Linked DNA regions of Sus scrofa. Each later gene encodes a partner of the first gene's protein in a complex. Links are inferred from orthologs where the notes say so. Each region holds a gene or a part of one and is shown in the gene's direction. Other genes may lie near its edges. The genes, in order: PTAR1 and RABGGTB.

Evidence for each region.
Region 2: the proteins of PTAR1 (region 1) and RABGGTB are in contact, whole or in part, in a crystal structure (PDB 6O60), measured with the Homo sapiens proteins. The link is inferred for Sus scrofa from reciprocal best matches to the Homo sapiens genes PTAR1 and RABGGTB. Residues at the interface, in NP_001093136.1 of Homo sapiens: Val61, Lys62, Leu65, Pro66, His69, Leu73, Arg76, Leu97, Asn98, Asp100, Phe101, Thr102, Thr103, Asn106, Lys109, Glu110, Leu113, Ile141, Arg144, Trp145, Pro192, Ser193, Tyr195, Ser199, Ile202, Trp203, Gln206, Val231, Ser232, His234; in NP_004573.2 of Homo sapiens: Lys6, Asp36, Tyr37, Cys40, Met41, Glu43, Tyr44, Ile89, Gly90, His91, Asp92, Asp136, Trp138, Glu140, Phe177, Asp178, Gly182, Cys183, Arg184, Pro185, Gly186, Ser187, Glu188, Ser189, His190, Gln193, Trp217, Glu221, Arg222, Pro225.

Annotation. Positions count from the first base shown.
Region 1 is NC_010443.5:223,037,611-223,041,430, reverse strand, and holds part of PTAR1 (protein prenyltransferase alpha subunit repeat-containing protein 1), read left to right. Parts: intron 1-875; coding exon 876-1,180; intron 1,181-3,471; coding exon 3,472-3,814; 3' UTR 3,815-3,820.
Region 2 is NC_010448.4:137,531,310-137,535,868, reverse strand, and holds the start of RABGGTB (geranylgeranyl transferase type-2 subunit beta), read left to right. Parts: upstream 1-1,736; 5' UTR 1,737-1,754; coding exon 1,755-1,757; intron 1,758-1,759; exon of another isoform or gene 1,760-1,840; intron 1,841-3,131; coding exon 3,132-3,239; intron 3,240-3,794; coding exon 3,795-3,992; intron 3,993-4,559. UniProt on the Homo sapiens protein: Catalyzes the transfer of a geranylgeranyl moiety from geranylgeranyl diphosphate to both cysteines of Rab proteins with the C-terminal sequence -XXCC, -XCXC and -CCXX, such as RAB1A, RAB3A, RAB5A and RAB7A.

The DNA of each region.
Region 1 (3,820 bases):
GCATTTGCCTGGAACCCTTAAAAACCAAGTAAAAGAGCCTTTTGGTATTGTGTGGTCTCTAGGTATGGTTTACGGTTGACAAGCGTATATCTTTTCCTTAGCTGGTCTGAAAATCCTCTGATGGAATATGGTAGGCCCTTGGTATACCTTTTTCTGATCAAAACCTGTATCATTCCATTTGAAATTCTTTAATGGGCAGGATTAATATTACAAAGATTTAAACAATTCACTGCTGAATTTTGTCTTTACTTTAAAAAGCCATTTATCATTGATGTTAAGTAAGTTTGCAACAAATAGTGAAAGTGACAATCACTTGAAAATTCCTATTATTTATGCATCGTGTTTTTGTACTGAACCCTTAGAATTAAGTAGTCAACAAAACACACATGGTCTCTGCACTGATGACACTTACAGTGAAGAAAAAATGATTATATTGAGTCTGTTGTTGAACAAATAGTAAGTTAGATATGGTACAGATTCATAAAATGCAAAAGGAAGTTTCCATCAAAGTGACCTGATTTTACATTTTTCCCTTCATAAGCATTACTTGAAAATGAATACCCAAATGTCTATCATTATTTTAGGATCTGACTTTTCTATGTGTGTGCCAGTCAGAATGTGATTGATCAAGGTCCAGGAAAGGACCTTAAATTCTGTGATATTTAAAAAAAAAATCCATTACTTTATAAAGGAAAGGGAAAACTGGTATTTACTGAGCTTTCTCTGACAACACTCTTGGAGATTGTACACAAAAATATAGGTAGGAATGGTGTTGTCAAAACAAAGAATGAGTCAAAGAGAAATGCAAAACATTAATGGAGAAAATAAAACCTTTGGCAATTCCTCATTTTATTTTCTGTTTTTCTTCCAACAAGATTCTTCTTGATGAACTGTCTTCTACTAAACACTGGGCGTCCATGCATGTTTCAGACCACAGTGGATTTCACTACCGCCAGTTTTTATTAAAATCTTTGATTAGCCAAACTGTGACAGATGGTTCTATATCGGAGCAAAATCCTTTGAGAAGTGAGCCAGGCATAGTTCTTCCAAAAGGTGAAGAAGCAGTGGCTTCAGCAGAGGAATCAAGGATAAATCTTCCCCATCTTCTAGAAGAAGAAGTTGAATTCAGCACTGATCTTATTGATTCCTACCCAGGACATGAAACCCTTTGGTGTCATAGGTAAGAAAAGGGAAGATATGTTTCCTGCATGAAACTGTCTGTATCCTTTTGAGAGCTATAGAAGTCTTAGATCTGACTCCTGCCTACTTGGATAAATATGGTCATCTGATGATTGTGGTGCTTTGAGTGATTCAGAGGAGTTTGTGTGAGTGTATCCTCCTCCTCCTGGTCATCATCAATATGCCCACTGCTCAAGATGGTGGTATTCATCCCTGATTGCAACAGAATAACGTGTGTTTTTTCCAAACTAAAAAAAGTTTCTGGACTCCCTCCTTAGAGATTGATTGATACTTAGCATATCTCGGATGGAGTCCTGCCCTCTGTTTTTTAAAAATAAAGGAAAATCCCAAACAGATAAATCTGTTGCATGTAAGGGTTTTGAGACCATTGATTATACTCTGAACAGTTAAGCTGCTTGTCCTCAAATTAACTTACCTTAAATATAATCTCCTGACACTTTTTTTAGAGTAAAGTGTACTTTCAGAGTGGATGAGGATTATTAGGAAGGAGTAAAAGAGGGTAAGCAACCCCATGACTTGAGTTTTGAGTACATTTGAAAGTAATTTCCATGTTGAAGTCAATGAAATCCAGGAATACAAACCCCCCGATAGGTTTATTTGGGCTTATCATTTAGTTGGAGGCATCTCTGGCATAGATAGATAGATAGATAGATAGATAGATAGATTTTATGTCAGGTCATAGGATTTTGTTGTAGGCAAAAGACTTGCCTGTGCTAGGCAGAGGTAGGCATTTTATTGTTTATTTTTAAAGTTAATTGAGATTCATTCCCTTTTTCCAGTCTAAATATATTTGGAAGATATATTAGAAGATGGAAGACAGTCTCCCCTCTTTGGCACCTTAATAAATACAGAATTTTCTTTTTCTCTTAAAAATAAGACACTCTTAATCCACGCTTTTAGTAGAGAAGATAAATCTTGACTTGTATGTTATTTTGGTGTTGCAGATTTTTATTGCTATTTTATATTTAGACACATTAATGACAAGGCTTAGAGAATATTAAAAATTATATTTTTGTTTGAGGGATAACTTGATTATTAGAACAGACTTCTTTTTGTTCACATAAAGATTAATTGGGGCTTGGAGGGGGGAGAAGAGACAGTTGGGATGCCAATATTATACAGGCTACTTTTCTACTGATTCAGTACCTTTATGCAGCTTATCTGTCCTTTAAATTTTATTCTCTGTAAAATAGTTATATTTTATATTATATACTCCCTTGTCTGCTCCAGAATAAGCTGAGAAAATGAATATAATTCTCTTTTAAGGGCTTAGAGTTGCTAATATGAATGAGGTATAATACCTAGAGCCTATGTAGTTTACCTCATTGTGTACAGCAGATATGCACCCAGATAGTCACAATATTTGGAGATTAAGCACATGGATCTTCATTTTTAACAAATCACTCCAGATGATTCTAAGGATAGGAGAACTCTCCTTAGAAGGGGAACAGGAACTGTGTCTTTTAACATACTTTTCTCAAAGCCCAGTACATCCCTACCACATGTGGATGTTTAATGAAACTACAGTGATGGCTTTAGGGGAAAATTCATCACCCTTATTAACTAAAAATTTAGGGTTTTTAGTTAATAAGACCAACTGCAGCAGTTCTGTTCTTATTAAAGAAAGTAATGGATAGAGGCCATCGACTGAGCCCTTTAGAGGAGCTATTTAATCCTCTTATTTCTGAAAATCACTTTTATTTTTTTATTTTTTATTTTTATTTTTTTTTCAGGGCCGCACCCGCGGCTTATGGAGATTCCCAAGCTAGGGGTTGAGTCGAAGCTGTAGCTGCTGGCCTGCTCCATAGCCACAGCAATGCTAGATCCTTAACCCACTGAGGCCAGGGATCAAACCTCTGTCCTCATAGATACTGGTCAGATTTGTTTTTGGTGAACCACAAAGGGAACTCCTGAAAATCACTTGTCTTTTAGGGTATTACTGAGGTTAATTTTTGGTTTTGTTTTATATTTTAATTTATTCCAGAGATTGGACTAAGACCTTTTTCTCATTTCATATTATAATTACAAAGAGTAACAACTCCAGGTGATTGTCATCATCTGGGTCACTGTTTTTTAAAAAACCTTTGGGGTTGTATTAACTGTATTAACACTTTTTTCTCCTTCCCCCAGATAGCTCTGAGTTACGAATGGGGCAGTGAACTGAGTACTGTATACTTTGAAGTTATCAACTATTTTTTTGTTTTTTCTGAAGAGCTTGACCTTGTAATCTGATTTCTCCTTTCTTCTCTTCCTCCTCCTTATGTTTCACAGGCGGCATATTTTCTACCTTCAGCATCACTTAAATAGTAGGTTTCCTCACAGCATGACCCAGTTGTCACCTGCAGACAGCCCTAGGGGGACTTTGAGTGACTTGCACCTCATCCCAGCAGGCCCCCACACATCTCAGGCAATGGAGGTGGATGGACTCAGTGACTCTAGCAAGCAAGGCTATTCCCAGGAAACCAAACGCCTGAAGCGGACCCCAGCTCCAGACTCCCTAGGCCTGGAAATGGAGCACAGGTTCATTGATCAAGTATTGTCCACCTGCCGGAATGTAGAGCAGGCCAGATTTGCCAATGCATACAGGAAGTGGCTGGTTACGTTGAGTCAATGAAAGAGG
Region 2 (4,559 bases), on another chromosome or scaffold:
AAATTTCTGGGCCAGGGACCAAACCCACACTGGAGCGGGGACTCAAACTGCTGCAGTGACAAGGCCAGATCCTTAACCTGCTGTGCCATAAAGGAACTTTCAAGGAAGACTTTTTGTGGTCTTTTGTCTATTCAGGGTTGCACCTGCAGCATGTGGTGCTAGGGTCCAATTGGAGGTGTAACTGCTGGTCTACACCACAGCCACAGCAATGTCAGATCCAAGCCACATCTGTGACCTACACCACAGCTCACAGCAATGCAGGATCCTTAACACACTGAGCAAGGCCAGGGATCAAACCTGTGAACCCACAGATAGTAGACAGGTTTGTTAACCACTGAGCCACGACAGGAACTCCAAAGAAGAATTTTTCTGGGGGGAGGGGTCTTTTCTGGGGCCACACTGACAGCATATGGAGGTTCCTAGGCTAGGGGTCGAATCCAAGCTGTAGCTTCAGGCCTAGGCCAGAGCCACAGCAGTGCAAGATCTGAGCCATGTCTGCAGTCTACACCACAGCTCACGGCAATGCCGGATCCTCAACCCACTGAGCGAGGCCAGGGATCAAACCCACAACTTCATGGTTCCACTGAGCCATGACGGGAACTCCCAAGGAATAATTTTTAAGATAAAAATTATTAGGGCTAGAAACATCATCACTTAATGATAAGTGGCTTGACTCACCAGAAATAGATAGTTCTAAACTTAACATGCATTTAGTAATACATGTTATCCTAGCCTCAAACTATACCTGGGGATAGCAATTGAACTAAGAGAGAAATAATGAAATCTATCATCATAGTGGATTCAATATTTTCTCAGTTATTGATAGCTCACACATATCTCTGCGTAAGGAATTCTTCCCCAAATTCTTACTTTTCAGGTTTTTTTTTTTCGTCTTTTGAGGGCCACACCCTTGGCATATGGACGTTCCCACGTTAGGGGTCTAATTGGAGCCATAGCTGCCAGCCTACGCCACAGGCAAGCCAGATCCCAGCGGAGCAAGGTCTGCGACCTACACCACACCTCCAGTGGAGGCAACGCTGGATCCTTAACCCACTGAGCGAAGCCAGGCATATAATCCACAACCTCGTGGTTCCTAGTTGGGTTTGTTTCTGCTTCGCCATGATGGGAACTCCTGAAAAAAAAAAAAATTTAAGAGTAGGTGCCAGTATTTTCTGGTAGGTGCTCAAAATACTTTTAAGGATTAAAGTCCTAAGAAAGCACAGTTACAAATAGCTGCATTAACACACCTAGCAAAGCTGAATTCGATGGAAAGCTTATAAGAAGCATAACGGTGTTTCCTTTTCAAAAACAATCTCCAAATATTGCAAATATTAGAACTTCCTGAAAGAGGAGGGAGTAGGTGAGAGTTAGCTAATAAGAGCTGAATGTGAATATTTATTGCACACGTAATTACGGTGCAACTCTATTTATTACCAGGCATTTCAAAGATCCTCAACAATAAACGATTTCTTAAAAGTTATGCAGATATTTAAACATTACTTAAAACAGTTTTAGATAAAACGGCGGTGTTTAAGGGACAAGAAAACGGGCTTAGAGACTTTAAGCACAGGCAGCGAGGACAGCCATGAGCAGCCGATGGGGTCCTAGAGCAGCCTCGGGATCCCTCTTTCCTTCAGGCGGGAATGTGGTCACCTAAGTCTGGGCGCGGAGGGGACCTGAGAGACGCTTCTGGGCAGGCGCGTGCTGCCTAAATCCGCCCACGAAAGAGCCAAGTTCTCTTTTCGCTGTCAGACATGGTGAGTGTGGACGTGTATTGCATTGCTGTCCGGATGGCTCGGGAGGAGCCTGGGAAGGGTGATATTAAGCATTTTAGTCACCGGTGGGTTGTTTACTAAATATTGGAGAATGGTCGCGTTAAGATAGAGGTCTTGGGAGTATTTTTGAGAGCGGGAGAGAGGGTGAAGTATTATTCAGCGTTTTCTGCAGGCCTTGCATGCGTCGTTGCCGCCTCTGATTTTATTCAGACTTCCTGCTATCGGTCGGGCCTCCTGGTTCAACAACCGGATTTCTTAATTTCCTCCTAAAAACTGGGCAAGTCGGTAGTACCTTTTTCCTTCTATATGTAGGTTGAAGCATATATATATATATATATATATGTATGCGTTAGAATTATTATCCAATGTAATAAATGGAGTAATAAAATTAAAAAAGAATTATTTAAGATCTTTAGAATGATTAGCGGTACGATCTTGTTGACCTAGTAAATTTTAATGGGCAATGGGCTAGACAAGAAATTGACTATTATTTTTTTGTTTTGTTTTGTTTTCTTTTTAGGGCTGCATCCATGGCATAGGAAAGTTACCAGGCTAGGGGTCCAATCAGAACTGTAGCTGCTGGCTTATGATACAGCCACAGCAATGTGGGATCCAGGCCTAATCTGCGACCTACACAACTCGGAGCAGTGCCTGATCCCTAACCCAATGAGGAAGGCCAGAGATCGAACCCACATCCTCATGGATGCTAGTTGGATTCTTTCTGCTGAGCCACAACGGGAACTCTGAGAAATTCACTATTTTATTATTGATAACTGTTGTGACCTACTTCAAATAAAACAGTAAAGTACAGTCTTAGATATAGATCAGAAATGTGGATAACTAGAGCAGCATTCTCGTCCCTTGGGGACTTGTTGCATTTGGGGAAACAGGCTAAAGCTGGAGAAGGTGAGTCTAAAGGGACTGCTTCCTTGATAAATAACCTTTGAGGTATATGGAAGGTGCTTCGAAGTTCCCAGAATTTATACAATTTCTAGAGTTAAACTTCATTAAAGCACTTAACTCAAATTATGGAATAAATAGATTTTTATTTTATTTTGGTGTTCTGTGTGAAAGATAAAGACAGATGAAGGTAGTATTTTTGGGTCGATGATGAGCTGGCATGTATTCTGAATCTAAAGTTGATTAGTACTACTTTAGCTCTAGAATTACTCTGAGACCTGAAAAATACTTGGATCTTTATGAAGGACTTTAGTGCCTTGGTTTTTCTTGGCCAGATAATTTTAAATTGAAAGTTTTCATTTGGCAACACGAAATAAAAAGTTCAGATGTATATTGAACACATGCTCTGGGGTCAAATATTAAGAGATAACTTATGAAATCAATTTATTGTGGAAGGGTACACCGCAGAAGGATGTCATTATCAAGTCAGATGCACCTGACACCCTATTCCTGGAGAAGCATGCAGATTATATTGCATCCTATGGCTCAAAGAAAGATGATTACGTATGTATGCTTTTATGTTGAAAAGTTTATACTCTTAAAGATGTAGACCATTCTGTAAATAGATCAGTATGGACCATGTTGGTATCTAACTCCTGCGTGCCAAAGCCTGAAGCTGTATCCTTGAGTATAGTGAATGCACCTTTGGATATCTGTTGAGGGACCATGGGAATTAACCATGTTTCTTACTTTGGTAGGCAAAGTAGATTCCCATTCGGCCCAGATCTGTATGAATTATGAAGTACGGACTAGATTACTATTTTTGTAGTTTAGACAATATTTTCAAGGTCAATGATGTGTTGGCATGTATTACCTGAGTTTACAGTGATGTGTAGTAACACTAAAGCTCTAGAATTACTCTGAGACCTTGAAAAAGTTCAGCCCTGAAGAATGGCTTTCCAAGTTTTCCTCTCTGGGACAGTCTTAGAAAAAATTAATGAACAACTTAATTGGAAGTAGATATTTTACCGGTGTAACAGTGGCTGTAGGGCTTTGTGTGTTCAGTATCTAAGCTGGCATCAATTCAAACTAACACAGTAAAGTAATTCTATATTTTAGGAATACTGTATGTCTGAATATCTGAGAATGAGTGGAATCTATTGGGGTCTGACCGTAATGGATCTCATGGGACAACTACACCGTATGAATAGAGAAGAAATTTTGGCATTTATTAAGTCGTGTCAACACGAGTGTGGTGGAATAAGTGCTAGCATTGGACATGATCCGCATCTTTTATATACTCTTAGTGCTGTCCAGGTAAATACTAAAAACTAAGCAGCCATGATAGTTTATTCTCTTACCTGAGAGTGGGGAAATTGAAACTAGGTATTAGGAAGGTGAGAGAAACCAGTATCTTTTCATATGACATCTATTCTACAAGGTCAATGATGTGATGGCATGTATTAGCTGAACCCGAAGTTGATGTAACTCTAAAATTACACTGAGACCTTGGTAAAGTATTTATTTTCAGTATATGTAAATATTTGAGAAATCGTCAGTGGACGTGTTTTTGTTTTAAGCAAGAAAAATCTTTGTTTAAGCCATGGAACTCTGGTTTATTAGCATATTGTATCCTATCCTGAAAGATATAACCTAAGTCTTATAATAGAAACTAGCATTTCTCAAAGAAAGTAGTATTTTCTTTTTTTTTTTTTTGGTCTTTATAGGGTTACACCCACAGCATGTGGAGCTTCCCAGGCTAGGGGTCAAATTAGAGCTACAGCTTTCAGTCTACGGCACAGGTACAGCAACTTAGGATCTGAGTGACATCTGCCACCTATACCACAGCCCACGGCAACACCCGATCCTTAACCCACTGAGCGA